Drosophila melanogaster: one gene and its partner. The protein of the gene in region 1 purifies or fractionates together with the protein of each later gene. This does not show direct contact. Each region holds a gene or a part of one and is shown in the gene's direction. Other genes may lie near its edges.

Region 1 (14,938 bases):
AGAGTAGATTTTCCGGGTTCGGGAAAGCTGCGTTGCTGTGTCATATTAGCACAACAGATTTTCCAGAATTTGCCCCATCCTCGGGCGCAGCTATCAGGACGCCGGCATTTCGTGATAGTTTCGCTCAATTGAAAACTTTATCCTTTGCCATCCGCTGGCAAAACGGATATGTTTGTACATACGTACATATATGTAGAGAAAAACACAATTAATTATTTAGACCTGCGGCATTTTCAATTACCCCGGCTGTTTACAAATAGAACTCTAGCGGAGGGCCAATATTCAAACAGAAACAAACGAAATCGATTCCATCGCCAGGCAGCCTGCCGTTTTTTCAATTAAATTCAGCATTTCATTCGCCGCTCATCAGACAGCTCCACTAGCATCTTCTATTAGCTTTCCTTCAGCTCCAGTTTTCCCCCAAACCCGGAAACGGTTATTGAAATTGTTTCGAACACTTTGCGCCTTCAGTTTGGGAAAAGCAAAGCAGTGGGTGGCTAGGTCATTCGATTCTATTGCTGAGGGCGAAAGACCTATTTTCTGTTTTCCTGTTTTTTATGTTTCATTGGCGTCTCAACTTTGTCACGTGTCAATATTCGGAGATGGGTATGCCGAAGGAAAAACAGCAGGGGTGAGGAGGGGGATGGTGGAAAGGGAAAAGTGGAAAGTGGAAAGCGGCACCGCCAGCAGCTCATTTAAATTTTAATTTGTACGGCTGTGGAGTCTAGATCTGTGGAGCCCCCCGTCTCTGTCACCATATCTATTTTTCGGCAGGACTAAGTTTTCGCCATTGACAGTTGCTTTGCGGAAAACTTTCTGCGGAATTCCCATTATGTTTGAAAAGCTTTTTCGGTTGACTTTTCGGCCGAGGTCATGAATTCGTTTCGGTTCAGCTTTGATTGAATAACTGAATGATCTTCGTCACAGCAGCGGGGCTGAAGTGCAGAAAGTTTATCATAATGAATTTTTCGAACTTAACAAAGGATTCTATTAAGTTATGAGCTTATTTCAAGTACTTTTTATTCCTAGTTTCTGCCAGCGAAATAGTTCAAATATATTAAATATATTTCCCGCACAATGGTTGGAAAACCACAACCGAGGGCAGAGATTTCATTTGGGATAACCGATCCAGTTCTTTCACATTTATTGCGCTGCACACATTTCTCGCTTTCATTGTCCAGAATGCAGCAAGCTGAAAAAGAAAACATCTTTAAACGATTTATGAATTGTTGAACATGTCCAGCGCCCCATTTATTGGTGAATTGATGCATTGACTGCACTGAGTGATGCCCGGCACCGGCAAACAATGAACCAATTTCATTTAAATCGCATAAATTCAAATAAATGAATAACAACCGAACCACCGATGAACGGAGGCGAGTTCCGAGATTGCGGAGACAAAGATTTAATAAAATGACACAAAAACACGCCGGACAAACATAAAAATCAATAAACAATAAAGTTGATTTATGCGTCAAAGTGTCAATTGGCAGTAGCACAGTGGTCCACTGCTTTCCCCTCTAGATGCCCGATTTTTTCCCCCATTTTCCCGCAATTTCCACCCCCTTCACTCGCCACCCCACTTCCGAATGATGGCAGCGGGCATCCGTGGCGTATGCGTAATTTCATTTGACAGTGCAACCGGTCGACAGTGAAGCCTGCGAGTCGTCGGCTTCGGCTGAAACGCATTTAAGTGCTTCATTCGATATTCCAGCGATGCAGCCACGCCCTCTGGCCCCACTCGCCCCTCCGCCCACCCTAGTTTTTGCCATTTTATTTCGAAATATTTTCCACAATTCAATGAATGATTGAGAAATATGCTTTTGATTTTATTCGCGCTGACCGGCAACAGTTGCAGATCATGTTGCACTTATTGTTGCAGTTGCAGATTTGACATCCGCGAGAGATGCGGGAGTTGGGGGCACGCGGAGCAGGAGCGGACTCCACAATTCATCTGTCAACCAAATCAATTTTGTGGCTTCAGCCATTTATCTTTGTTAGCGCTCAATTGACGCAGCCGCTGCCACAGATACAGATACAAATACGGATGCAGATACAGATACAGATACTGGTTCTCATTCCGATTCTGGATCGGTTAGCTACAGCCATTTGGGTCGACGCGACTAAATGAAGCTGCCAAGCGGCTGGCTGATTGGAAATTAATTGGGTTGTGCAGCTTTTGTTATATTTTGGCCCAGAATACGATATAACATATTGATGCGAAGTTATGGAAATGAGTTGCACAAGTATCGAGTTCAATTTAGTGTGAATTGCTGCAGGCCCACATCAATATAATGCGCTGGTTCATTGGGTATTCATACTCTTAAGTGGACAACGGTTCAGTAGTCCAAGGATAACCTTTTCATGTACATGCAAATGGCTCCATAACTGAGTTGAGCTAAGTTATTATTGTTTTTAAAGTACATTACACATTCAAAGAATTCTTGAAATTCGAACACTCTACATGTACATGAATCGCAGAATACGATATAACATATTGATGCGAAGTTATGGAAATGAGTTGCACAAGTATCGAGTTCAATTTAGTGTGAATTGCTGCAGGCCCACATCAATATAATAAGCTGGTGAAAGCCAATCACTACTCGCGATATTCGGTGATATGACACTTTCCCATAGTGGCACATTTGCATACTGGCTATAAATATTTTACAAATACAAGTTGACCCATTTCAGAAAATCCAAATGGAACTAAGGTTCGGTGTCACCATCCTCTGGGTGAATCTTCTTCTCAGCTGAGACCCACTCAGCCGTGCTGAAGAGCTCCTTTCTCTTTCCCAGTTGGTCCATTGTCCACGTAATCAGCTCAAGAGCGATTATCTTGTGCGGCACCATCAGCATCTCCAGCTGGGCAAATAACCCACTCCTCGGAGATCGGAACTCAGTCTGTTTGCCAATAGAGAGGCCGCTGTAGCCGGCTGAAAACTGCAATTCATCAACTCAAATCAGAGGAGGCAGGGGCCGCTGATCCACACGTCCCAAGTCTCCTGGCGGCAGTTTGCCCACCCACAGTGGCCACAAGTCAACGAGGTGATTTGCATGCAGTCATGGGTTTCGGTTTGGTTTTGCTCTTGCTCTTGCTTTTGGCCAGGCTCTCAATGGGGAGCCGGATTAGACGCGACACTGATTGGGCCCGTGACCAGAGTTGTCGCCGTGACGAGTGCAACAGTTCGAGTTGTTCAATGTAACTGGCTTAAATCTTATGGAGGATCAGGTGTCTACTTATTAGTTTATTTGCATCCAATTCCTCTACATAAACTATGTCCAATTGAAGTTTTATTTGGATGCGAGTGCAGCATCTGATTTCTGAAACTTCTTAAACTAGAAAGTCTCGTAAGTAAACTCGGTCAGGCGGCGCGGGGAGCACTTTACTCCAGTTCTCCCCCCGATCCCAATGGCAATCCCCATCCATTCCCAGCCCGTTTCCATTTCGGGACCCATCCGCATGCGTTACGCAAATTGAATTCGTTGGCTGAAAATTTATGCAACGTCGCGTCGGCCAAGAGAAAAGCAACAAGAACAATCGGGGGATATATGTTTGGGGGGGGGGGGGGGCATTGGGGGCAGGGCATATCGGGGACCTTCGGCGACTGCTGGTGTGTGTATTTGGACAATGTACTTGGACGCAGTCCGATATCGACAGAGTTGCAGCAGCAACTGCGGCTGCAACTGCATGTAAAACTGGCAACTGGAAGCTTCGGCCGGCGAGCGACTGAGAAATTTATGCTTTGTTTTGCCTTGGCGATACATGGAACATCAATTCTCGTTAACTTTTCATGCACGACTGGGCGATGGAACATGAAATGGATATGGATATGGACTCTCGACTCCCGATTTTCGATTCTCGATTCTTTGCGGAACCACTCGACCCAGCCGAGAAGAAATGCGCAGAACAATCAAACAGAGAGTTTTTCGAATCCAACGCCATGAGTGGATATTTAAATTAATAGAATCGAAGTCTGAATGGCTGGGTTTACACTCAAAACGAATTGAATACAAATATTTGCATATGTACATAGTATATATCAAATATATCCAACAAAATATAATCTGCAAAGTGCGATTCTTCGATTCTTACCTGCAATATCTAATCTGCTTAGCACAATTGATTTATGGTTTCTTTAATTAAGCTGTGAACAGAGAACAATAGAAATGATTTACATATCTGCAGCTGGCCAGAAAAAAATTGCAAAACATGCATCAATTTGCGTTGCATGTTTTGCTGAGCACTTAATTAAACTCATTTCTAGATTTCACAGCAGCTGTGTTCGATTTAACCGCAACACATTCGATTCGATTGTGCGAATTTATCAATTGTTCCTCCTGGATTTGGCCCAGACCTTCCGCCCAATTGAGCATCAAACACGACCGACTTGCTGGGAACATAAACCGCAAATTCGTTTTATTAACTCACCCACGTTTTTTTTTTTTTTTTTGTTTCGCTATGCATGAAACGAGCAACTTGGCTGGGTGGGTGTAACCGAGTGGGTGGCTCTGGGTCACCCACCTAAAATGGGCGGGTATGCAAAGCAGGCAAGGAGAGCGGGATGACCTTCGTGACAAAGAGCACGGCGACAAGTCACAACAATTGCCTGGGCCATTCAATAAAAATGCAAATTAACTTATCAATTACAACGCCCAAACAACAATAAACTGCACGGCCATTCGAGGGATTGGCCTACTACTAGCCACGTGCTACAAGGACCTCTGGCTGTAAGCAAAAAAAAAAAAAAAAAAAAAATAAAGAAGAAAAGAGGGAAAGAGGGAAATTTTTGCCGAGTCTGGTCCAATCTTGTGGCCACTTCTCCGGCCGGAGTTCCTTTGCTCTCGAAACGGTTTTCTTATGCAAATTGCCAGCTCTAAAATATTCCGGGCTCATAATTTTTATTTCCGTTATTCGAGTTTCAAGATTGTACTACATACTTGTTGGCGCATCCCCCACTGCTTTTCCCGGCTGGCTCTTCGAGAGCTTTTCCTGCGCCTTTTGGGAAATTTGCCTTGCTAATATGGCCGAAAAGCGGCACAGTGTCTGCCAGGTTGTCTGCCGACTGCTCTCTTCCTTTTCCTTCCCGGCCAATTCCTGGCGCAATCATCCCCCTCCTCCGAGCGGCGAAATTGGTGGCACAGTGGGTGGGTGGGTCCGAAGATATCGTGGACATAAATGACATAAGTTACGACTGACAGATCAGATAACATCTTAATTTAGGGAGTGGGCGAGAGCAGAGTTCAGTTGTAGCTGGGGGCCGCTTTCAAGTTAAGTGATTGTAATGGCCCACACAAGGCACGGAAAATCTCAAGCAGGATCGAAGGGCTTCCTACTCCGCAAGAGAGGCTTTTCCAAAGCAGATGGAAAACTTTAAACGACTACAATTGTTGTAGAAACTTCAAAATTGCATTTCGTTTTACTTAGTTGATATTACAATGTATAACAATTTGAAACGAGCTACCTTTCTATGGATTATTGCATTATTTTTTCGAGTGCCAAAACCTTTTTTAACTGCAATCCCAACACCTCAGCGCAATCGGCTCAAATGGAATGTTGCTGGCCTGGTCGAGATTTGCTCGTCACTTCTCGAAAGCCTCCCACAGAATTTTCACACAGTAGACCGCTCCTGGCATCACCGCGTCCTCCTCTAGTTTCTCAGAGCCCTGTAATTTTACGGTCAGGTCCAGAATTGAAGCATCACAAAATCAGAGGTGGCCGCTGAAAAATGCAGGCCGGCACGGAAGTGGTCAGCAGGCGGAGCCCCAATGATTCTGATGAGTGGTTTGGGCTTCGGCTTGGACTTTGGGTTTTGGTATGGGGCCTGGTCTGGTCATGCAAGGCGCATTTTCGCACTCACACTGCTCTCCGTTGCTTTTCCAGCAAGTCAGACAAATTATGGCCACGATTTGACTTGGGCTCTTCGAGGAAAAGCAGCTCCTACTGCTGGTCAGGCGATAAGCATTTGCGTGATTAATGAAATGTGTGCCCGTTCCCCTTCCCTTGCTCCAAACGCAAAAGAGTTGCGAAAGGCCTTTCCATAAATAAACAATTAGGTCTCGCCACCCGCAACCGACTTTCCATTCTGCAACTTCAAACTCCGACAATCCTGACTTACTGGCTCACAATGGGCGGGCTTTCCCGCTTTTCCCGCCTTCTTGCCGCTAATTGACTCGCACTCGCCCAATTAGAACTCGTAAGCGGGCACGCTTTGCCCATTTGAATTTATATTGGAAATTAATTTAATTAATAGAGCGCCTGGAACGGGAAAGGAATCGGATGTAGTGTGGGTGTGGAGTCACCTACCAGGTGTTGTATCCAGTTCCCAGTTTCCCTGGGCTATCGCAGCGGGAAGTGTCAAACAGTCAACTCAATAACTGTTTATTTTGGCTGGCACATTGCCAATTTTGGCCTGGCTGAGTCAGTTGGTAATCGTTTCGCCTTATTTTTTTGGCCAACTAGAGCACTCGTATATTGTGGCTGGTAGATTGGCAACTCTTTTCTGCTGGGCCATGCATTTGCATTTTCTATCTCAATTGGCGGTTTGCATTTCATTAGCCTGAGCAGTTTCGTTAAGCTTGCCAATTTATGGCAATAAAGGTGTTAAGAGCTTGGTAAGATCTATTCGAATGGTATTTTATTGGTATTGGTTTGGGACCACCCATGGGACCCATTAATTCAGCCACAAATAAACATTTTCCTAGGCAGAAAACGGATTCTAGATGCAAAAATATCGAAAAATATTAATAACCCATATATTAATCTGTTAGTTTACATATGTATCATAGATCATTTTAATTGGCACGCAAATTCCCGGTATAAATCAGACCATTTTAAAAGCATTTTCCGCCCCTTCACTCTACATGACTGCCGTCTGGACTCCTCGCAAGATCGTGCTGCCTGCCTGCCCACCTGATGTCGAAGTGATCGATGTCCCTGGACAGCCGTTGCCATCCATAACGAGGCAAACTCCCAGGCCAAAGACGCCTCCGCACTGCCAATCCCATTTTCCGCTTTCCATCCGCCCATTTGCTACCGTTTAGCCAGATTGATTTCGGGCCAGAAGCCGCACGACTCCGCCGATCATTCCTCCCACTTTTCGCAGGGGGCGGAGGGCCGTCACGCCCACCGTTGCAGTTTTCCCATCGCCCAATCGCCAATGCCGGGCCCATCAATCAACTTCGAGTGCTCGCAGTGAGCGGGAGGTACTCCACTTGCTTCTACCTGCCTCCGAATCTCTGCATCTCCGAATCCGCGAGGAGGACGCGGCAAGAGGCTGCGCCTGGGAGCGCTTTTGGTTGTAAAAATCGTTTCGGCATCATTTTTCATATCCGCAACCGAAACAAAACCGCCAAAAAAAAAAAGAACCAAAACTACCAGAAAACAATATCCAGTCGGCGGCTGGGAAATCGAGTAGCATCCTAACTGCAGGAGCTTCATGCGGCGTTGGAAAAACAGTGGTACGTACCCGAAATACCCTAGGGTTGACTTCTCCAATCTCTATTGCGAGTATGGAAAGGTCATATAAATGTACCAAAGTCGCCCTAAATCTCACTCTTTTGGTTTCTTCTTTTATTATAAACAATTTAGGATGATCCAAAGTCCATTTGAATAGTAATACCCTCTGTTAGGGTATGAGAAGGTGGATAGATGGGCTTGGGTTATGTTTCGGTGGCCAGGGGTGCGTATACGTGATCGCTGCATTTCTTTGGACGTTCCGCGACGCTTTGTTTGCGCTGCCATCGACACCCCTGTCCCGCCCCTCCTGCCATCCTTTTTAAGCCTTGTTTGCTCTTGGCAGTGGCAAGCGAAAGAGACGGCTGCAACGAGACAGAAAGAGACAGCACGAGGGAGAAGGTTTCGATGTAGCGCGAATTTGTTGCAATTTCTCATTGTCAGCGAACGCGTTCGCCGGTAAGTTTTGATTAAACGCTCCGCGGGAATTCACTTTGGCTTGCACTTTTTGCTTTTGTTTTTATTTTTTATTTTTCCTGCCGATAGGAGGTGGCATCTCCCATCCACAATCCCAAATCCCAGTTGGTGGCCAACTCTTTCATTTGAATTTGATAAATGGCGCTCGTTGCAAAGCGATATGTTATGCAATTTAGGGATTTCCTTGTGGCTTAAAAAATATTGAAGCGATAGCTAAATGTTTGTACAACTCGGAAATAAATGAACTGGCCGACAAAGAGAGTGGAAGGTGATGACACTTTAAACAGGCTTTCGGAATTCAATTTGCCTAGCATTGGGAAAAGTTGAGCTATCTCTGTGGATTCATGTGGATTCCACTTTGGTAACTTATCTCGAACCTGTGTGCGCAAGTTTAAATCGATTTCGATCCACCACAATACCCTATAATAAAAGAGCTTAAAAGGGAGCTGGTATAATATGAAAACTACAAATTACTGAGGCCGAACTGGAGGCGAGACGACAAACAAGGCCAAATTGATCCCCGGCTGACAAGCGGTAATAATAATTTCGTGCCAATTAATCAGCGTTAAATCAGAGCGTCAACATCCCAACCTGCTCCACACTCATTTCTCGTGATTTCACTTAAAGATTTCCTGTTTTTTTTTCACAAACATGCCGCCCAAGATAATCGAATAATTGGCATTCGCATTCTACGTAAGCACAGTCGATTGTGAGCAAGGTCACACGGATCGCAAATGCAGTTACTTTCTGATTGTTGCTACACTTGGCCACTCTAATTCTTTTCCTGCCAAACTTCAACGGAGGAAGTCACGTGGTGTTTCTAAACCTATTTTTGATACTAATTTCTTTGGAGTAAGTTAATTGTTTCAAAATTTTAGGCGTGTGCTCATGTTTTGCCATATAGGAATGAGTTCCCAGACGCAGAAAAAGAATGCTTCCAAGGCCAAATCGAAGGCGGGCCCACAGCCGTCGAAGAAAGCCCCGGCTAAGGTGACTCCTGTAGAAACCGCCACCCCATCTGCGGCTCCGCCTTTGTCCTCTAAAAAGGTGGCCAAAGCTCCGGCCGTGGCACTAAAGAATCTCGATTTGGCCATGAAAGAATCGGCTAAGAAGGCCGCCGAAGCTGCTGACCAGAAGTTGGTCTCGAAGGCGAAGAAAGGCCAGAATGCTTCACGCAAGAACTTGATGCAAGTGCCGGAACCCGTTGCCCCTGAGGTGGACAATAAGAAAAAGTCTGCGCCTCCTAAACGTGGCAATGCGGAAATACCCACGGTTGTCCCCGCCAAAAAGGCCGCCCTGGTGCAAGAAAAGCCCAAGGAACAAGCTGCCGCAGCACCAAAAGCCGAAAATGTCGAGGTTCCAGCAGCCAAAGCTAAAAGTGTAAAAAAGAGCCTCGCCACTCCGGCAAATCCGAAGCCCAAGCCGAAACGCACGAAGAATGTTCTGCGTGGAAAAAGGCTGGCCAAAAAGAAGGCTTGGCAACGCTTTGTGATCGACTGCGCATGCGTGGCCGAGGATATGATCCTGGACCTCGCCGACTTCGAGCAGTATTTGAAGACCCACATCAAGATAAAGAACAAGCTCAACCAGCTGAAGGATCAGGTCACTTTCGAGCGCACCAAGAACTTCTCGCTGATCATCCACTCCGGTGTGCACTTCTCCAAGCGCTACTTCAAGTATCTGACCAAACGGTATTTGAAGAAGGTCAGCCTGCGTGATTGGTTGCGGGTAGTGTCCACGGCCAAGGACACCTTCGCCATGACCTACTTTAAGATTCAGGACAAGGACTTTGATGACGACGACGACGACGTTGCCGACGACAATGGCGGAAAAACCTTTGCCTAAAACAAAGATCGCATTTCGAAAACATGTATATCCCATGAAAGCTGTTCAAGTGTGTAGACTTCTTAAATTTCTCAGTATACTTCTGTTAAATTTCCCACTTGAAGTTTCACTAGTTCTCAATGTGGCTCATACAATTTTTGCTCATTTGCTTCAACATATTCAACGATGAAATATCAATAAAAAAAAAAAAAACCCTAACAAGAGTATATCATATATGTATGTATTCTCATCCGAAGCTGCAGAGTTCCCTTGAAGAACTTAAAGATTTCATTTTACGGTCAGTTAGGAGGAAGGAGCGGAGCGTTCCTCGGTCGAATCGACTTAAACTTGAACGATTGACATCTCGGAGAGGGCCTCGAGTGGCATTCGTCATGTTTTGATTGGGAGGAGCCAGTCTTGTTTTCCTTACCTTTTTACGCTTTTGTAAATACCTTAAATTGCCCCATTGGACGGGATTGTGTTCGATGCCAGGCGGCTTAATTGCTTCGCTGTGGGTCTGCCAAATGGACGAAACCATGGGTGGGGATCAGAGGGTGCTCCTCTGTCAGCAGTTGGCCCGGCCTGGCCGTAGGTGGTCCATAACGAGCTAATGAAATGCGAATCCAGCCAAAATGCGAACAGCGAGGCAGCCCAGTGGAGTGAGTCAGGCAGGCAGCTGTCAAAATCGAAATCAACCTGAGCACTCGCAGGTTGGCTTCTTTTCGACTTGGCCAAAAGAACACAAAGGCTGGGCAAAATATTCACGATTGCCGCCTGGAAGGGAATACAAAGCGAAAATAAACATAAACGTCATGCAAATCGTATGGTAATTGCTGTCATCGCCGACTCTTGTCAAAACGGGTTGAAGTGTTTTGTAAATGCCAGAAAAAATTAAATTCCAGACATGCAGACGAGTACCAATAATAATAATAATAATGTAATAAGGGGCTTGCGATGGGGGGGAAGTCAAGAGTGATCCACACGCGATTATTATTTTGTCAAATGGGAAAACGATATCGGGCCAAAGCAGAGAGAGAACAGCCTCTGTCAAAAGCCAATTGGCCATTGGTAATTGGAATAGGCCTGACATCCAATGGTGATTAAAGTTAATTGAACTAACACCCATAGTTGATAGATGATGGCGTTCTTTGTCAAACCGAATATACCAACGTAAAAAATACTTTAGCATGTGTTAATTAGCATTAACGCTATTTTATTTAATTAATAGTGCACATTTGTATGATGTATTTCACTCCCTTGAAGAGCCACTTTTTGCAGCAAATAGAGCTGGCATTAAAACAAGTATTAATTTTGAACCCTGTGTCAGGGCCTTATTAATTTGAAAGCAAATCCCTTGTGACATGGAATATGAACCGTGCAATCAAGTTGGCTTTTAATTGTGCGTCAAACATTCAGATCCAGAATCTTGGTAATAGGCTCAAATCCACTCCGATTCTAGGTAGGTTGATCCCTGTTCCTGCTTAGGCTAATTAACACATCGATTACATCGTTGCGCGGACAGTGTGTGTCTTTAAATTGATAGGCTCGTTAAAGTGTCTACCATTCCGAGGCCTTCTGGTCTTGACTTCGCCAACTGGTTGGATCTATTTTTAGGGCCAGCAGGTGCAGCTGCCTCGGAAACTGCGCAGAGACGCGTTTCTCGGCCAGTGCCAACCAGTTGGCGAGACCCCATCATCATCATCGCCATCGCCATCTGAAGATCGCCATCCAGCGTAGGTGACGGACAGCCTCGGGCTGCCAATATCACTTACTTTCAGACAATGGATAGCCACACAGGCGTTGACGATTTGTTGGCCTTAATCTACTTGAGCAAATATTAGTTTTGAAAGGTCTTTGTACCCAGCTCAAGTTTATTTTCTACTTCCCAAGCCCTTTTAAAGTTTTAAAGAATCTTTGCAGCTCATTTAACTGGCACTTTTCTGCTCGAACGCTTTTGGGAGTCTATTTGAAAATGATGGAAGGTGAAAGGTGAGTTTGTGACTGAAATCATATATACTTTTACTTACTAGCTATTGATTCCCACAGTTCCAAGTCGATTCAAGGCAACATCGTGGGTCTTAAGAGTACCAACGCCGTGATACTGGCCACCGACTCGAAGGAATACGAAATGTATCTAATAGATGACCGCATTTAGTAAGTCTATTCAATTTGCAATGCCTTAAAATAACTTATTAATTATTCAGCTGCTGCGCACCTCGTTCCGGCATCGATCGGAACATAGTTCTGGAAGTGAGTTCAAAGGTGGCAAATCTAGTCCGGGATCGCGGCCAGAATGTGACCGTGTCCCAGGTGCGGGACATGTTTTGCGAAAAGTACCAGACCGCCGAATCCCCAAATGTCATGATAGCTGGCCAGGACAGCAGGGGCCTTCACTTATTCAGCATGGAGTGTGGAAAGTCACGCATGGTGATGTATGGTGCAAAGGGCAGAGATAAGGAGAACATTGTGGACTTTCTCTCGAAAGACTGGAATGATTTCATAAACCTCAGCGAGGCTGAACAGTTGGCCAGGAAAGCGCTTAGGTGGGAGCACGTGGAAATGTGCACCATCTATAGGGCTAAAGAAATCGAGGAACAAGGTGCCAACATGGACTTCGATATGGACGACGAGACCTCTGTATCGCCGGCCAGCAATTTCTAGATCCTCCTACTATCTACATGTACATAGTAGTTAATTGTATCATTTCGATTTATGTTCATATAAATGAATGGTGGCTGCTCCACTGCCCCCCCCCCCCCTGTAATTAGCCACATTTCTCAGCGTTTTGCAAGTTGGCCTAAAATAGATTAGCCGCTCCTCCCACTGGAAATGGTGCAGCGCCAGCACAAGTGATTTATACTCCTCCGACCTGGCCCTTGGATAATTAATAATGATTAAAAGCTGGCGCCCATCAGCGGGCTGGCAGCTCAGAGTCCTTGTACCCGCTATGGGTATGGATATATAGCTCTATATAGATCCCCACTAACCAGATCCGCTCGTCTGCCTCCGGGGATCTGGGGACTGAGGCGATGTCCAGCTGTGCGGATTAACTTGAATTTATATGTTGTGGCTGCATTTGAATAATTTCATATTCGAGCTGGCAATCGGGATCTCTATCTTTCTCCTCCTCGCCACGCCCCCTTCCTTTGCGTCCATCTCCCCTGTGCGTGACCAGGCTCCATTTTCCCCTACTCCTGCGTCCACTTGTGTGGTCTTCCTCCATTGACAGCTCTTGGGTGGCATTATGCTGTCTGCTCCGGATTTTCACTTTTATGGCCTGCAAACCGGCAGTTGCTAATTGATTTCCACGTAGATTGGACTCGTAGTTAATCGGCTGCTCTTCGGTTTAAACGGAGCTCAAAGGGATATGATATGAGATACTTATACTTTCAGATTAGTATCTTCGTAACTTTCGTTCCATTCCCTTTCCATTTAGCTCGCTTATCTTAATCAAAGCCTTATCACCCTGTGCATTATTTTGGCACATTCAAATTGAAACCCCTTTTTCGGTTGATAAGCAAATATTTCGCCAACACTTCAATCCACTTCCCGCATTTATTAACTTCATTTTCGGTTGTGCTTTTGCCCGAATTCGAAAGTGTCTGTCGAAAATAAAATGTCATTGGCCAAGCGATAAGAAACGAGAGGAACAAGCCGAAAAATCAAACATCAAATATTCCCAATAAATTAAATGCGGCCAGTTCCAAGAAGGACCCATCCTCACTTGTTGGTTTTTTTTTTCAACTGGCATTCAATAATAATTCACTTTCGATGCGGCCAAAAGTTGCGAGGAAGCTGGCCCTGGGGATTCGGGGTGCCTCTGAATGCGGAATCGAGTGGTGCTACCTTGTGATATCTTTATTTACCTCAGTCCAGTCAAAAAAAAAAAAAAGGGCTGAAAAAACACAGAGGTGCAGAAAATGCAGGCAGTGTCACCTTTCGGCGGCTCGAAGTGGAAATATATTTATGTGGCATGCGAGTTGCAAGGTGTGACAACATGGAAATTTATCTGCACCATCTCTGCAGCACCTTTATCTCCTGACCCCCACCTCCACCACATACCCATCTCGACGCCTCCTCCCGCAATCCGCGTTCCGAGCTCCGGGTGGATTTATATGGGATCCGAGTCGGGATTGCCATCTTAATGCGACATTAAGTCGGCGGAATCTGGGTGTTTGGCCCGGGCAAATATGAGGTGCATTATGTACACACAAGGGATTATCTATGGGTACACATGTTGCACGTGCACCATGGAGCAATGGAATTATCCATTTGGGTGCTTCAAATGGGGCTGAATGCACAAGTACGCACAACAAAAAACATATTAAGTTGCCGCACTGATTAATAAAAAAGTTTCAATCATGCCATTTAATTATATTCGCTGATGGCCATAAAAAAAAAAACTTTGCAAGTTCAACGTTTTTTTTCCCAAAACACTTTCTTGTCAACTGTCTCTGCATAATTGTGCCTTTTTTGCAGCGCCGCTGTTGCATTGGCAACTTTAACGAAATTGGACATGCAACATAAAGTAATTTATTTTTAATTAATTTATAAATGCAGCCACATCAAAAATGGCCAGCGTTGCAAACAGGCGGCGAGGCTAGAGGATCGCGAATTAAGCCCCGAGTCGTAAATAATTTTTATATCTCGCATTCCTTTATAGATTTTAATTTTTTTGCGCGTTTAATTTCAGCTTTATTTTGTTTCATTTTATTTTATTTTTATACGCGCCTCTGCCGCATGCAACAAGCGGCACGAAGTGAGTGTCGCTGACAGCACGTCATCAGCACATTGGGCGCAGGGGGCAGCGGGCTCCGATTGGCCACGCCCACTTATATCGGTGGGCGTGTGCGATGGCAGCAATTTCATTAAAATTTACTGCACACTGCAGCGGCGAAAAAATTGTTGCGGTCAATTAACGTCAGCAACGCGTTGCCATCGCTGCGGCATAAGCCCTACAAACACGCCTCACTCCCCCCACGCTTTTCCACCCCATTTTCCGCCCCTTTTGCTCGGAGTTTCACCACCACCACCCCCCCCCTTGCTCATTAACGGCCGTCGATTTTATTCACATTTCGCATCTGCATGCGCATACGCAACTTTTTGTTTATTATTGCTTGGCGTGAATAAATAAATAAGTTCCATTGACATATGCTCAAATAAATAATAGAGCGCGCTTAA
Region 2 (16,004 bases), on another chromosome or scaffold:
ATCCGACTGATCGTGAATGTGTCAAATCTTTCCACTTCCATCCCAAGTGTTTACGCTTGAAACCAAACCTAGTGAGATATTATCTTCTACACGGCGATCTGCATAATTATGCTAAACACATTAAATCCATTCATAAATCTCTGGGCAATCGTCATCCACAAAGGGAACACCTCGGCGAGAATTTCGATGGCCAGATATGAGCTATTATTCATGTCCCGCGTGGCTCGCGCTCCCATTTGTATTTGTCCAAGTCTTTTGTGGGTGATGAAGCCCAGCGGGGTGAATTTACGATCTTGGCCAGGGAAGCACTGAAATAAAATCAATAAACCAGTCGCTGGGCACAGCCAGAAATAATGCTTAAGATGCAAATTATGCAGATGAGTCGAGGCCAAAATATTCGAGCTTGTCACTGGACCGAAAATCGAAATTCACCTGCCCGGCGAAATCATATTTCTTGTTGCCCAATCGTTGGAGGCGTGGTCCCGTCCCCCGTCCCCCATTACCACCATTCCCACAAACTTGGCCATATAGAAACGGGGACTTACTCGAAGAGCTGCTCGATCGCTGAAGACGCCTCTTCCAAAACAACATTGTGTTCCTCCTCTTTTGGCGCTGATAAGATCGTCTGCTGATTGGTTTCGTTATTTCGTTATGTGATCACTGGCTATGCGGGTGTGGGTCTATGGCGAAATGATCCCTCTCGCGGAGCAACACAGCTGATTAGCATAAACTTCGAATCACTCAGGAACCGAGCTCTCCCGAATTGTATCTTTCAGATACAGCCACGGCTGAATGGCAACTGCACTTGCCCAACGCGCACAACAAATTGAGACATTAGCAGCCGGCCAGCGAGGAAAGTTATGACCCGAGCTATGTGGAGTGGTTTCAATTCGTTTTTTCCCTCAGGTGTCTCAGGTGTCAACTGGAGGCGAGGTGTGCTCAATTAGCCGCCCGATTTCAGCACTTCCGTTAAGCCGAGCAACTCGGACTTCTGGCCCGCTCGACGGTTAATTAACGAATAAAAAGTCGCTCCGCTGCCTCGAAAAAAAACCTCCGAGCTCGACTTGAGCTCGCTCTGCCGCCAGCTCTTCTCGTCTGGCGCGCTGGCTCGCTGGCTCGCTGGTCTTCCGCGCTCCCTGCCACAATGGAAACGAACTGAAAATGTGTTACACCGAAACGCCGGGCGGCGCAGTCGACGCTCCGAAAGGGGCAGTCGTCGCACATTGGGGCCAGTGGGGACATAAAACAGGTGTAAGAAGCCCAGACGATCTGAATGCGAGCGACATATGGCTAATAGCCAGCCCATGGGCTGGATCGAGATGGAGATGGCGCGTTTTATGGGTTTCCAGGGTGCGGACACAATTAGATGTTCGTAAAAAGTGGCGTTTTATTTCACTTTTCAAAACAGGGTCCACTCCGCAGACTCGTTTCTTGCGGGCTGGCGACAAAATTATTAATTATCTCACAAACACTGGACAAACATGGCTAACAACTGGCTGGAGTTAAAAGGTAGTTACATCAGTGGTATCAGCTTGCTTACAAGCTGGGTTAGTCCATTAAAAAGCTATCACAGAACTGAGTCTTAAACTTAAAGTGTAATTTTAAAATATTATTAATATTTTTCAACACCTCAAAGATGTAATTCAGTGTGGCGCTGACTGCGCAGTCGCCGCCGGCGTCGCAGTTGGCGTCGCGTTGGTGGCGGTTCACTGAATTTCGCTGACTGTAGGTGGTTGTTGCTGCCCCCAAAATGTGTAACAGCAACAACAAGAGTCTGGCCAAATCGGCCAACAACAACGATCGTTGGCTCGTGCAGAGTTCAAAATGCACGCAACCTGCAAGACAGGCGACTATTGTTTATAGCCCGCTTGGATTTGTTTTTTTTTTTTTGCTCTTAACTCTTTCTTTTCGCTGGCTGCCTGCACATTTATTACTTAACGCTTTGATGCGTTGACGGTTTGATGGTTTGTTCTTCTTGGCCATCAGTTGCCCGCTTGCCGTGTGCCCCTCCGTTTGACATAGTGCACTTGGCCATATTCGCTCGGTTTGGGCCCCCTCATCATCATCGTCATCGTCGTCGTCGTCGTCGTCGTCCTCATAATCAGCCCTCTTTTTTGCTATATGTTCATCAAGCGAATCAGCGTAGCGAAGCATAAAGCCAAATTAACATAAACAACTTCTTTTCGACTTCCATATCTTCTATACACGGAAAATCGCTTTGATTATTACAAGCTATCTTCAAATTAAGATTGTCATATTTATAGTTTGGGATTCATGTTGAAATAATTTCTCTGTAGATACATTTCTTTGCTGTGAGCACTTAACCTAATCATATTTCATTCTTAACCCGATCTTATTTTCGTTCAGTGTGCTGCACGGCTTGCTGCTCTCAATCGCCCACATGGCCAAGTGCTCCTCCTCATCCCATCTTTTGCCCATTTCCTATGCGGCTATGTGGCGGAATTAAAGACCTTTTTACCATATACCATCTAACTATTTTCCGTCTGCTATTCTTCTACTGTCTAATTGGAATATGAATACGAATTTCATTTGTTGGTAGTTTGTAGTTTGTATTTTGTAGTTTATAGTTTGTTTTGCTTTTCTCCGGTTGGGGGATTTTTCTTGTGACAGGTCAGAAAGCCGCGCAAATTATTGGAATCACTAAAGGTAATGATCCAAATTGATGTTAGACTATGGTGGCTTCATCTTCATTGCACAACTGGAACTACATTCATATTTAAATATACGTTTTTGCTTACCAACCCACTTATTATGCACTTTTGTTGCGCGATTTAAATGTGAGTTATAAATATTTATGGACGCAATGAGTGCAGTCATGTGTGAGCCTGCTAATGGAATTCCGTGTTGCAATCGGAGTGCAACTACAGCACTTGGTAGTTATGGCACCCATATATTGTATCCACCATTGTTGCGTTGCCATGTCTGCACACGCAGTAAACAAGTTGGGAAATCGGCGGCACGCGCTCATTCAAATTAATTGAGAAGGATGTCGCGACCTTTGAGGAAGGATTACCGCACCGCGGACTTCGAGCAACTGAGCAGGATGATTAGGGACCATCCGCTGATGAAGGAGCCCGGAGCGGAGCAGCAGCAACTCCATAAGCTCCGTACGCCGGAGTACCGAACGAAGTGCGTGATGAGAGCTTCCTTGGATGACATTGCCTTGGGGGTGAGTGCCTATCATCCTTAATGTCCAAAGAAATCAAGCCATACAGTATGTTTATTCGCCAGATCAATCTTTACAAGCTGCAGCTGGACACGCCCATGTCGCCCACTCTGGAGGAACCGAATTATCTGAAGGAGCCTGCTTCCTCCGCCCGCTCCGCCCACTCCGCCCGTCCTCCAGCCACGCCCTTCATCAAGGTGCTGCTCCGAAAGACTCCCATCGTGGTGCTATTCGAACGGCGCAGCATGACCGCCTTGGCGGACACGGAGGAGGGTCGCCAGGTGATGGAGGACAACCGGAAGTACGACGAACTGCTCTCGGGAACGGACAAAACGCGGAGAACCGTCGATGCGGACACCCAAACCATGACGGCGCTGATGAAGTCCAGGCTGGTGAACACCGAGCGGCTGACCACCGCCCAGATGGGTTCCTATGTGTCCAACTTCGAGATGTACGACACGTACACCGACCTGGAGAAGTCCACCACGAGTGTCCAGGTGCAGGGCGCGAAGAAGATGGAGATAACCACCTACCACGTGGGCGGGGTGGATCAGTTCGTGGGGATCAACTGCCTGCCCGGCTTTCGACTGGCCCTCATGCTGACCATGCGCATCTTGGCCAGCAATGTCTTCGAGCCGCAGCAACGGAGGTACAGGAACATGGCTCCTCCAGATCCCTTGGCCGAGGACGTCAAGTTCAAGTACCGACTGGGCCTGCTGTGGCGACTGAGCCCCCCCTCGTCGGATCCCAAGGTTCATCAAGCGGTGAGCGACATGAGCTTCTGTCCCAGCAATGGGGACATCATGGCGGTGGCCTACGGGGTGTACAGCCACGGCAAGGTCAGCAAGTTACCCAGATCCGGCTGGGTCTACGTGTGGAACATCAAGAACCCTGTGAATCCGGAACGACGCTACCACTACCAAGTGCCTGTGGTCACCGTGGAGTTTTCACCCACCCAACCGCAACTGCTGGCCATTGGACTGCACAACGGAGGTGTGGAGGTTAGGGATATTTCTGGACAGGATCTGCCACCACTAGCTGTATCGCAGCGTTTGTCCTCGCCATACTTCGAGCCAGTAACGGCCATTAAATGGATCTACTTCGAGGGCGATGTTGGGTGCAGGAACCCGCACATCACGCCCTTCTTGGCCACTTCGCAGGCTGGGGCGGTGACCAAGTACCGGCTGATCAATAGTCCCAATATGCTGGGACTCGAGCAGCAGCGTTTGCAGCGGGCGGAGGGCGAGCTAGAGGGGATTCCCATCGAGCGACAGCCTCCGGCGGCTTCCCTCCTGGCCAACAGGCATCCGCAGTGTCTGGAGATTGTGCTCGATCCTGTCCAGTCGGACATATACTACGTGCTGACCGACGAGGGTACCCTGTACAAGTGCTCCACGAACTACCCGCTGCAGCACTTGGAACTAAGGCAGGTGCACGATGGACCCGCCGCCTGCATGGAGTTCTCGCCCTGGTCACCAAGGATGTACCTCACTTGCGGCAGCGACTGGTGAGATCAACTGCGATTTTGTTCCGGGTTTCTCTATCCTCACTCATGCGTCCCCATCAGGTGCATTCGTATCTGGCTGGCTGGAATCCTGTTGCCCATCGTGACCCTTCAGCATCACCTGTCCCCGGTGCACTGCGCCCGCTGGAGCCGCACTCACTCCACCATCCTGGTCTCGCTCAGTCGCAGCACCGTGGACATCTGGGACCTGCGCAATAGCACCATGAAGCCGGTGTCCTCCACGGTGATAGACGCCGACATCTTCTACACCACCTTCAAGTGAGTTCAGAGTCTTCTCCTTGAATGATCCTATCGCATCTCCTCGCCTTCCAGATTCACCCACTGCGGCCGTTCGCTGGCCGTGGGAAACGAGGCGGGCAACCTGTTGATGTTGTCCTTCGAGGACATGCCATTCCCGCCGCACTTTCAGTACAAGCAGCTGAAGAGAGCCATCTTCAAGGCCCTCTCCATGCAACCCGATCTCCGCAAGCAGGTGAAGAGCGTCGGCTACTTTGGCTATCCAGGTGGGACGAAGCAAACAAGGGCTTGATTAGATTAATCAAGATATTATAACCATAAGCCATTGTATGAGTGTTATGATTGACACAAATAAAGCCACCAAATACCAATCCAAAGCGTTTTCCTTTCGGGCTTGAAGGTTTAATGATATGGATACAATGGCAGCCCAATATTAAAGCTCAGCTCTTAAGGCCTTCTCCCTATCGGAACTAACCCACACCCGAGCTGCTCTTATCGAGCACCTGCATTTGCAATGCAAAGCAGGGGGTGTAAGGTAGCTTTCGGCACCTTGGGCATGTGATAGCCACCAAGTTCAAGCCGACCAAGTTTGTGGTTTGCGGCGGAGGCGATGACGCCGACGACGTGGCTGGCTTCCCCAATTTGAGCTGCTTAGTTAGTTGGAATAGAGACGTCCGCCATGCCCCATCGACTGCGGCAGAACCTGCTGTTACCCCAACCGCCCACGGTGGTCCTGCACGATCCTCGCACCCACCTGCGGCACCTGCCACCCGCCTACAGTGCCGCACAGACTCCGCTGAGCAAGGAGCGGGACTTTGGGGCGCAGGTGCGCTACTACCTAGAGGCGCCTCGCAAGCCCAAGTTTCGACCCTGCAAGGTCATCTTCGTGGGCGACTGCTCCGTGGGCAAGACGGCCATCGTCAATCGGTGAGCATGGCATGGCATATAGGCATTACTAAATTAATTAACTTACACAATCATCCGCAGATTTTGCTACGACAAATTTCAGTCGAACTACAAGGCCACCATTGGCGTGGACTTTGAGCTGGAGAACTTCAGCATTCTGGGTCACAACTACAGTCTGGAAATGTGGGTCAACTGCCTAGAAGGCGCTATCAGTTTGGTTTTGAAATGTGCTCTACTTGCAGGTGGGACACTGCTGGTCAGGAGCGCTTCAGGTGCATCGCCGGAGCCTATTATCGCAATGCGAGTGGTAAGTACCAACTAATTAAATCATTAGGAGAGAGTTTTAACAATACAAATCCATAACCAAAGTGATTGTGGTCACCTACGACATGTCGAAGAAGGATTCGCTGGAGTCGGCAAAAAAATGGCTAAATAGCGCACTCAACTACAATGCAAGCAAGAGACCCTTGGTTTTCCTGGTGGGCACAAAAGCAGACCTCTTGGTAAACCACCTTTCCAACAAAAGATTCAAGTAATAGCACTTACTTTTCAGTCGAAGGAGGAGTTTGTACGCATGGAACGACTGGCAGGGTTGGCAGCCGCCGAGCTTCAGGCGGAATATTGGTCCGTTTCGGCGCGATCTGGCTTCAAAGTTACGGAATTATTCCAAAGGATCGCTGCCCTGGCCTTTGAAGAGGCTGTAATGCAGGAAATTAGGTCTATTAAGAATAAGCCTCAGGAACAGGCCACTCAGGCATCTGTTAAATCGCAAACTTTTGGTAAGCCGCTATTCGAAAATTCTTATCCTATCAGCTTATATTTATTCTTATTTAGATTTACGCAACTTCTTTGGAAGCCGCCTCTCGCAACAGAAAAGTGGCTGTACTTGCTAGCCTGCAGATTGCACAACTTGTATTTTTAGCTTAACGTAAGACATTGAATAAAACAGTTTTAAACAATTTGGTTACTTCTTTCGCTTTAAATTCGAATTCAACAAGTACCGTTACATTTTAAACACCGTTAGCGTTGCCACTCATTTTTGCGGCTGTGTTGCACGCGCACAGTGTCAAGATAGCAAGCCAGACACGGCTAATAAGTGCCGCAGCAGTGTTGCCAAACGCACTGAATGCGTGCCAAATTCCAGCTATCTGGCCACCCTCCTGTCAAAACGGGCTTCCGCCTTTTGACAACTGCCCCTCAGTTTTCCTTTTCATTTCTTTTTCTCGTAGAAATGCCACCCAAAAAGCCAACCGAGAAATCCGGTAAGGATTTTTCATTCAAAAATATGCGAAAAATGCGTGAATCGATCAGCAAAAGGGAGACGACAGCTCAGCCCACCAGAAGGCAATCGAATTTGTGCGAAATATTGTGATTTTAAGGCATAAATGTGTTCGAACAGATAATCCGTAGTTTCGGCCACGTGCGGTGTGTCTGCGTGGGAATGTCCAAGTGTGTGTTCAGAATGGGATAGTATAGCAACCGAGTGAGCAATCCAAAGTTGAATTTATTCGAATGGAGCTGGATGAGTCGGAAAGCGTCCCATTGCCTTGCTGATCGATCAGGCCTAACCTAACTTTGTGCGTCGAGAGCCGAACATGTTTACTAATCCGTGGACTCCGCGCTCTTCTGTTTACAGCCAAGCCTGGCGACAAGAAGCCAGAGCAGAAGAAGACTGCTGCGGCTCCCGCTGCCGGCAAGAAGGAGGCTGCTCCCTCGGCTGCCAAGCCAGCTGCCGCTGCGCCCAAGAAGGCTGCTGCCCCAGCGGCTAAGAAGGCTGCTCCGGCCGCCAAGAAGCCAGCGACCGCCGGTGCTGCTGCCAAGAAGCCCGCGGCCGTAAAGACGACCGCGGCCGCCAAGGCCAAGAGCAAGGATGCCAAGAAGAAGGTCCTCGCCGGCAAGAAGCCCCAGTCCGTGCTGGCCAAGCTCTCTGCCAAGGCTCGCGCGGCCGCCAAGGCCAAGAAGGGCGTGAAGCCCGTGACCAAGCCCGCCAAGGGAACCGCCAAGGCCAAGGCTGTGGCTCTGCTGAACGCCAAGAAGGTCCAGAAGAAGGTGTGCATCAGCTGCTTAATATTGAGGAGATCGACTCGGACTAACCTCGTTCTTTGTTGCTCTTTTCGAACAGATCATCAAGGGCGCCTTCGGCACCCGTGCCCGCAAGATCCGCACCAACGTGCACTTCCGTCGGCCAACCACCCTGAAGCTGCCCAGGAGTCCCAAGTACCCCAGGAAATCGGTGCCCACCAGGAACCGCATGGACGCGTACAACATCATCAAGTACCCACTGACCACCGAGGCGGCCATGAAGAAGATCGAGGACAACAACACCCTGGTCTTCCTCACACACCTGCGCGCCAACAAGAACCACGTGCGTGCCGCAGTGCGCAAGCTCTACGACATCAAGGTGGCCAAGGTGAACGTGCTCATCCGGCCCGATGGCCAGAAGAAGGCCTATGTGCGCCTGGCGCGCGACTACGACGCCCTGGACATTGCCAACAAGATCGGCATCATATAAGCGCTGCAATCTGCGGTAACGTGTGGAATGGGCATCGCGTTCTACATTTTATATGTAGATTCTTTTCTATAAACAAAGTAATGCTAAGCTGACACGGTAGAGCGAGGATGAACGTTTCAAAGTTGTCTGGGTTTAATAAAACCACTCAAAAACTAAGTGTGGGTTTTCAATGTGGGCTCAATGGGTTCTGAGTTTCTTTCAGTTTTCTCTTTCAGATTGGATACTTCAGGTTTTAGCGCTCTAAATTGGTGAGTTTTTAATAACAAGCAATCTTTCAATTTGCTAATACTACCTTCTATCGCAGGCTGTCTTTAAATGGGAAGCTTAACTTGCTAAACGAAGAGGTAATTAAAGTTTTATTTTGTAATTTTAATGTATAACACTTAGCTGATGATATTACGAGTAGGAATCTCATTGAAATAACCATGAAATCAATTTTATCTCCACTGATAGCATTATGCTCAAGGAAGCTGAACTCAACCAAACCAAGCTAATCAAGACTTTATTTCGTTTCAGTTTTCAATCTGGCTCGTATCTGGATCCTTGGATATGAAATTCTTCAAGGTGTGTATATTTCGGATGGAGTAGTTTGAATTGTAATCTGCTCTGATGATATTTCGAGTAGGAATCTCATTGAGCTACCTGTAGCTATGAAATCAATTTTAATCTCCCACTGATCAAATCATTTCAAACAACAATGGCTTCTCTTAAAGCGCTTTATTTAACAATTCTTTTTTAATTCATTTCAGTTGCGCCATTGTTTCCCGATTCTCTGGACTAACTTCTTATAAGGTGTGTATCTGTTTTAGTTACTGACAACTTCTTTATTGTGATGATATTTTGAGTAGGAATCTCATTGAGCCTCAGTCATTCGTTGCTTTGAAATTAATTTTGTCTCTCACTGATTGCAAGCATAAAAGCAAATATGTTCATCGTTGTGAAGCATAACTAACCAAGTGTTTGCTTTTATTTTTACAGAAGTGGCCCGATTAATGGATTAATGAGTTAATTCTTAAAGTACATTTAATTGAAATATATATAGAAATAAAACAGAATCCTGAACCTAAACAATTGTACATTTTATTGCTGGCACTCGTATCTTTAGTATCTGCGGAACTGCTTCCTAAACTTATCATAATGGTAGTCATCTGTGGCTCGCTTGACTCCATTGGGATTCGTCTGATGCTGTGCGGATTTGTTGCCCTCCCTTTCCTCACGCTTGCGCCTCCTTTGATCGCTGTTGTCCTCGATGTTGACTGGAAGTAACAAAGGTTTAGTATCCGCGGAAACGTTTCACACTTGGGAACTCACATCGATTGTGTTGCATGAAGTTCACCGCCATGTTGGTGGGCACGAATTGCGAGGGTCCGTCCTTCTTGTTCTTGGCGTCCTGCAGCAGCTTCTGCTTGGCTTCCTCGGTGGCCTCTATGTTGCGGATCTTGGCCACAATGCCCAGGTCCACTTCAGGAATGCCATTGAGCATCTGGTTGGACAACATCTCCTCCGATCTGTGCGAGGAAGACTGCCTCAGGTGGTCGGGCAGGGCGTACAGGGCGGCATCCTCGGGGGTCAGGTACTTGTTTACATCACCGTCGTCCTCTGCTGCGTCCTCCGTGCCGCCTCCCTTGCGCTTCTGCAGCTCCTGCTCGATGTACTTCATCATCTCCTCGTCCTCATCCCGCTTATTCGTCTCCGCCGAGAACTGCGTGCCAATGCCCACGTCGTAGGCGTCGTCCGCCTCCTTCATCTTGCCCGATTTCAGCTGCTTCATGTTGACCAGACCACCGGTCTTCACATTAAAGGGATCCTTGATGGCCAGCTCCTCTTCTGGCGCGATCTTCTTGCCCAGCGCCAGTCCCACAAGGCTGACGCCATTGGGTCGCTGCCTGAGGCGCTGGCGTTCTTTAATCTCATCTAGCGTTAATCTGTATAGAAATGAACACTTTAGTTTAATTCATTTCTAATTGTTGACGGCTTACTGTTCCTCCTTTTCTTCTTCGTCTGAATTCTTGCGTTGCCTTAGGTTTTTTCGACCGGCTTTTTTGAACAACACTTTGGTGGTGGCTTCTGCTTTTGTTTCCTCTGCATCGCTCATGATTTTAGACTAATAAATCTATATATTTCTTAAGATAAAATAAGTGTAATATTGTTGTTTACGTTTAGCTATTAGTGTGCCCGTTTCGCCGATTTTCACTTCACTGATAACATCCACTTCGTTGCTTTGAACAGGATCCACTCATGTTAGCTTCATTGTGGAATTGACAGCTAGGGAGCATTTAGGCGACATTTGTCATCTGGTCACACTGAGGGCGGCATATTGTCGCATATCTAGTCGAATATTTTGACAAAAAGGAATAAACTACTGAAAAGTTAGGCAGCCTAGTAAAGCCAGCGCTTGGATAGCAGCGCCGCAGGACATATAACAGAGGTGAGAAAGCCAGACAAGTCGAACACCACTTGCACTGCAACTGAAATCGATTTTTCGTGTGGTGCAATTGCAGCGTTGGTGGAGCACCCAGTGGCCGCCGGGAGTCGTTGATAGTTAAGAGGAATTTGCAGGACATCGCAGACCAGCATGTACAACGGCATTGGCCTGACCACGCCCCGTGGCTCCGGCACCAATGGGCACGTGCAGCGGAATTGGGCATGTGTGCGGCCCGGGAAGAAGGACAAGGACTACCGCGCCGAGGACGACACGAAGAAGCTGGACGCCCAGCTGAACCGGCCGCCGAACAAGGAGATCCTGGACCACGACCGCAAGCGCAAGATCGAAGTCAAGTGCCTGGAATTGGAGGACATTCTCGAGAAGCAGGGGTGAGCAGGGGACATGGGCAATTACATGCCAGTATGTAATGTCAATCCGGGTTATATAACGCCGGCCTGGGGCTGTTGCTTCCTTCGCTGTTTATGTTTACATTGGCGCCTGGTAGCTGCTCCTGCACGCCAGAGAGCGGACGCACACGCGCCGAACTGAGCACTGAACTACCCCCAGCCCGTTGGCGAGCCACCCCTACGCGGGCAGGGCTTCCTCCACCCGCTCGGTGCGTCACATGTGAGCACTCTTCCGGTGGCACGAACTCGGCTGGTGGTGAAAAAAGTGCATTTCAGTTGTAGAGATTATTTTGAGTGAAAGACATCCGCATGTCCGGGCAAGCGGACTGAAATCTAAGCACTCCTTAGCTAATTTAACAATCTAGATAGGTGAAACATCATCCATATTTAAGCCTTTTTTGAGCTAATCAAGCTAGTCTTAAAGGTAGAATTACGAACTTTAGATATAGAGCCACGCTAATTATCTTATCCATTAAAATTGAATTATTACAGACGCACCCCGGAGGAAATTAAGTCGCAGGTGGACTCCTTCCGCCAGAAGTTGATGGGACAGGGCAAAACAGATCTGGCCAAAGATGAATTCGGACGCGTAGCGTAAGTACCACGCTTTTAATAGCTTATGTAATTTAAAGCAAAACGTGCGCCCAGTGGACAAATCAATAAGCTCTTAAACAAACCGAAGGCCTGCTCAAATCTCGGCCAGCGCACGACAGCTGTAAACCACATCCAAGAAAAGACATGCGCCGCCGCAGCGCCCAACTCGCCACCCCTTCTTTCATTCATTCGGGGGCCAATCACAGGCGTCGCATGGTAGAGAAAAAGCTGCTGCAAAGATTTTCCGGGATGCGCACGGCTTTCAGTCACTTCAAGTCTTCCAAAGCCACAGCAAGTTGGCCAAAGCGCTCAGGAAACGCCGCGTAGCAGCCAGATATATTTACACACAAATTAAAAGCAATAACCGCCTGCTAAAACGACCCACTAAGTGCCCTTGGCGAGGAGCTGGCGATGGAGGTGGCGCAGAGGAGCCGTCTCAGGGGACCTGGTAAAAAAGGCACGATAAGCGCTGGAAAATCGCTGGAAAAATCGATATCCGCCCCGTCAGGAGCTCAGCAGCAAATGCATCCATAAGCCTAGCAATCAAAAGAAAAAAAATTAAAATAAAACACGAGATCCCAATGACCTGGAGGGAGGGCTTGGCACCCAGCCAGCAAAAGCCCTTCAAGTGTGCCCGAGGAGGAGTAGCTCTGCATACGCACCCGATAAATGAAAACCCAGCGCCGGTGGTGGTGGTGTCGCATAGCTCTTGGTTCACCCCTAACTCAGCATTGCCAGCCGCTTTCGAGCTGCGGATTATTGTAGTGGTTGTTGCAAGTGCTAAGAGTGGAGCCCCTTAAATGAGGTAGCAGGGCCAGTAGGAGTAATGCTCAATACATAAGCCGAATGAATGCAACAAATCACTAAATAAGTCTTCCAAACATAGTCAGTAATTAATTAGTATAAGTCGCGAAGTGAAGAAGACAAGTGCGCGTAGTTGCTTCAGCGGAGTAAATTAAATAACCATAGCAAATATAATCCAATATTTCTATAAAACTATCCAACGTCTTCCAGATGAATAAGGATTTATTAAAACATCACGGGCTCTACGAAATGTAGCCGAAAGTAAAACCAAATATATGCTAATCCATCGTCTTCCAATCGTAACCGATGAAATTATAGCAAAGTATATTGTAAAGGAAAACTATTTTTGTATTTATATAAAGCATAAACATTCTGCGAATCCATTGTCTTCCAATTACATGGATTTAAACATATATTATATACAACATAAAAAAATATATATATATAAAACAAACGCGAATCAAAAATCCGAAAACAAGTATAATTAAAATCCATCGTCTTCCAATAACATGGATATATGAAGTTGAAGTAACGTCTTTTCAGAATAAATACAAATTAAAGTTAAAATACCCGCGGAATAAAAAAAACTAAAGCCTAATATCCACTGTCTTCCACACACATGGATTAAAACTTTACGTTAAATACGAATAATCTTGTATAAAAGCAGATCCAAAGATATCATAAGTGAAATACTTATCCTTAAAGGCAAAAATGCTCTCCTCGGAGATCTATAGCAACACCACCACATCCACGGCAACGGCTGCAGTAAGAACCACAGCGACTGCCTCGGCGGCCACTGCATCAACGATGACAACAACGACGGAAGCCACCACGGTGAAGGTGGCGAAACCGAAGAAACGACGCAAGCGACGCAAACGCGCAGGTCACGCAATCACCACCACCACCACCGAAAAGAGCGCCGCCATTAGCACTCCCGGTAGCAAAACCAGCAGTCCCCGCACCCAAACCGGGGAGCCCGCCTCCTCTGCTCCGTCTGCCACCTCAAATGGGGCCAGGAAGACCAAGGCTCCCTACTTCCAGCACGACAACCGCGAGTACCTGGCCAAGTACGAGAGCTTCCGTTTGACCGCCCACACGTGGAACTACGCGGCGGTGGCCAGAAAGTTTAAGCCCTTGCGGCCGGCGTTGGCAAGCGGCGCCAACAAGACCAGGCGACCAGCAGTCTCCAAGAGGACTCACCCGGACTGCGCTTGCGCCTGCCAACAGAAGGACCCGGAGCCGGCACTTGAGCCGGCCCACCGAACAGCTGAGCACTCCATCCAGAAGGAGCTGCCTTCGTCACAGATGAAAATCAATATCGATGGCAGCGTCCTGCTCGAGCTGCTCAAGTACTCCTCGAGCAGTCTGCTGGGGACACTGCTGGGAGCCGGCAGTGCTGTGGCCACAAGGTAGCCACTTAATGAAGGGGGGAACCAGAAAATACATACATTTTAGATTTTATGATTGAGGCACATACTTTTTCTTAGTACTTCATTAACTAAACGCACAACTTTCTCTTCCAGTGCTCGCGACACCCATCAAATAGCCGAGGCTCAACAGCAGAAGAACGCCAGGCTGCGCGAGGCCTTCAACATATCCGAGTACTTTGTCGAGGGCAGCAGCTTCGACGGTGATCGCAAGGCGAAGGAGGACCTGGCCAAAAGCGTGGCTCTCCAAAAGGAACTGGACGCCCAGCGCGAGAGCCTGGCAGCGGCGGCAGCTGCCGCAGCAGCCGGCAAGGACAAGGAGACCGGGAAGCGGTATGCCCTAGTGCGTACTCCTTCCCGCGAACGGGATCGCGATGCTGGCGATGCGGCAGCCAATGGCGACGAACGCGATCATGTCTCCAAGACGGACAAGAAGAAGCGCAAGAAGCGCGCCAGAGAGAGGTGGGTAGATGGTAGCGACTTGTACTGTACTGGTGGATTTACTTTCGGATTTGGATTTCAGTTCGGCCAGTCCTGAGCGCAAGAAGAAGAAGAAGTCGAAGAAGCACAAGAAAGAGAGGTAAGAGTCCTGGCCGGAATCCGAAACTTGAAACCCTCGACAATCGTAGCTTTGTGTTTGTTTCCTTTGCTCTTTCTTTGGACTCTACAGTCATGACTTTTGATTTGTTCCTTATCGTACATAGTAAACTGTAAACACGTGCGCTTAGAGCGTGAAAACCAATGATACTATGTAACTATCAATCAACTGCTTAATACATTTTGTTTTTCGTCTCTACTCCTTCTTTTACATTGCATTTGAAACCACAAAAGGGACTCATATGAGAAAGAAAGTAAAAAGAAGCGAAAAGCCACGTACAAATGACTCACACTTAGTTTTAACAAAGCTAACACTATTCAACAAGCTATAAGAACCAATCCAATCAAGTGAAATGTTTCAAATGCCTTTCTGCAATATATACTTTCGATATCCTAACACTTGCCAAGACAATCTTTTATTTGAATCCGTGTGCAGCGAGAGTGAGTAGAGTGATCAGGGATCTAAGTACGTATGGGTTCTCCACTAGCCAACACTTTACACGCACCTACCTACCAACCACTCGAAATCCCAACCCAACCCATCCCATCAGATCCAAACTAACCATCTAACCTGATACAACTGCTCACAGATACTCCCCCCGCCCAAAATTCGCCCATTCACATTCCCCAAAACTCTGCCCGGCGGTAAGTAATAATTCGATTCTACAATCTACAATAAAACCATAGAAATTGCATTGCCAACTAAAACTACAATACCAAAAACCACAAGTAAAGAACTACTAGAACTTACAACCATACAATAAACGATAACGTTAAGAGGTCTCTCTGTGTGTTGCAACAATTAAAAGCGAATTACTTTCTCATCTTTCTTTCTATTATTATGATTACCTTCTATAATGTTAAGACAAAGCCATTTGCGCAGTTTTCGATGAAGGTAAAGCACTGAACCACAAGTAAACCAACCTATTTATACATTGCTGCTAACCAGTACTTTGGAGCTCTAGGCTTTCGGCTACCGAAAGCGCCCTTTCCAATCTGTGTCTCGTAGCCAGCACCAAAGAACACTTTCGATTAGCTGTCGAATGAACGTGCCCTTACGGATCCACTCATTCTTATCGAACTCCACCCTTCTACTTGCAGTAAGTCAAAGAAGAAAAGGTCGCGCAAGCGCAAGCACAGCGAGAGTGGCCGGGACAGCGACCGGGATAGCGATGAGGAGGATGACAGCAGCGAGGAGGAGCGACGCGAGTCGAAGAATGTCCGAAAGAAGGCCAAGAAGGACAAGGTAGGCAGGAGCTAGAGCTCCCAACCTGTGCACATTAGCTATCAGGAGCTGGAGAAAGGTGCGAAGAGGAAGAGCCCATGAGCGGAGGTCATTGTTGGACGAAAGTAGAGCGAGATTGGGTGAATCGAACGCTCCAA

What was found.
Region 2: the proteins of RpL22-like (region 1) and RpL23A purify together in Drosophila melanogaster (affinity purification with western blotting, with the first as the bait; one study listed by BioGRID). This does not show direct contact.

Annotation. Positions count from the first base shown.
Region 1 is NT_033778.4:23,241,625-23,256,562, reverse strand, and holds RpL22-like (ribosomal protein L22-like), read left to right. Parts: upstream 1-8,669; 5' UTR 8,670-8,785; intron 8,786-8,837; 5' UTR 8,838-8,839; coding exon 8,840-9,778; 3' UTR 9,779-9,953; downstream 9,954-14,938. Other genes in the region: yip3 (yippee interacting protein 3), read left to right, coding at 11,730-11,746, 11,804-11,911, 11,962-12,418.
Region 2 is NT_037436.4:1,659,709-1,675,712, reverse strand, and holds RpL23A (ribosomal protein L23A), read left to right. Parts: upstream 1-7,058; 5' UTR 7,059-7,086; coding exon 7,087-7,117; intron 7,118-7,491; coding exon 7,492-7,904; intron 7,905-7,977; coding exon 7,978-8,367; 3' UTR 8,368-8,615; intron 8,616-8,671; 3' UTR 8,672-8,711; intron 8,712-8,748; exon of another isoform or gene 8,749-8,821; intron 8,822-8,883; 3' UTR 8,884-8,931; intron 8,932-8,967; exon of another isoform or gene 8,968-9,048; intron 9,049-9,116; 3' UTR 9,117-9,159; exon of another isoform or gene 9,160-9,345; 3' UTR 9,346-9,425; downstream 9,426-16,004. Other genes in the region: CG7991 (uncharacterized protein), read right to left, coding at 546-591; CG13930 (uncharacterized protein), read left to right, coding at 3,008-3,190, 3,253-4,694, 4,755-4,970, 5,025-5,241; RabX5, read left to right, coding at 5,629-5,876, 5,937-6,038, 6,098-6,162, 6,225-6,358, 6,409-6,634, 6,690-6,748; CG7974 (uncharacterized protein), read right to left, coding at 9,469-9,623, 9,679-10,292, 10,347-10,462; Srrm234 (Serine-arginine repetitive matrix 2/3/4), read left to right, coding at 10,943-11,181, 11,692-11,793, 13,332-14,006, 14,121-14,486, 14,548-14,604, 15,723-15,867.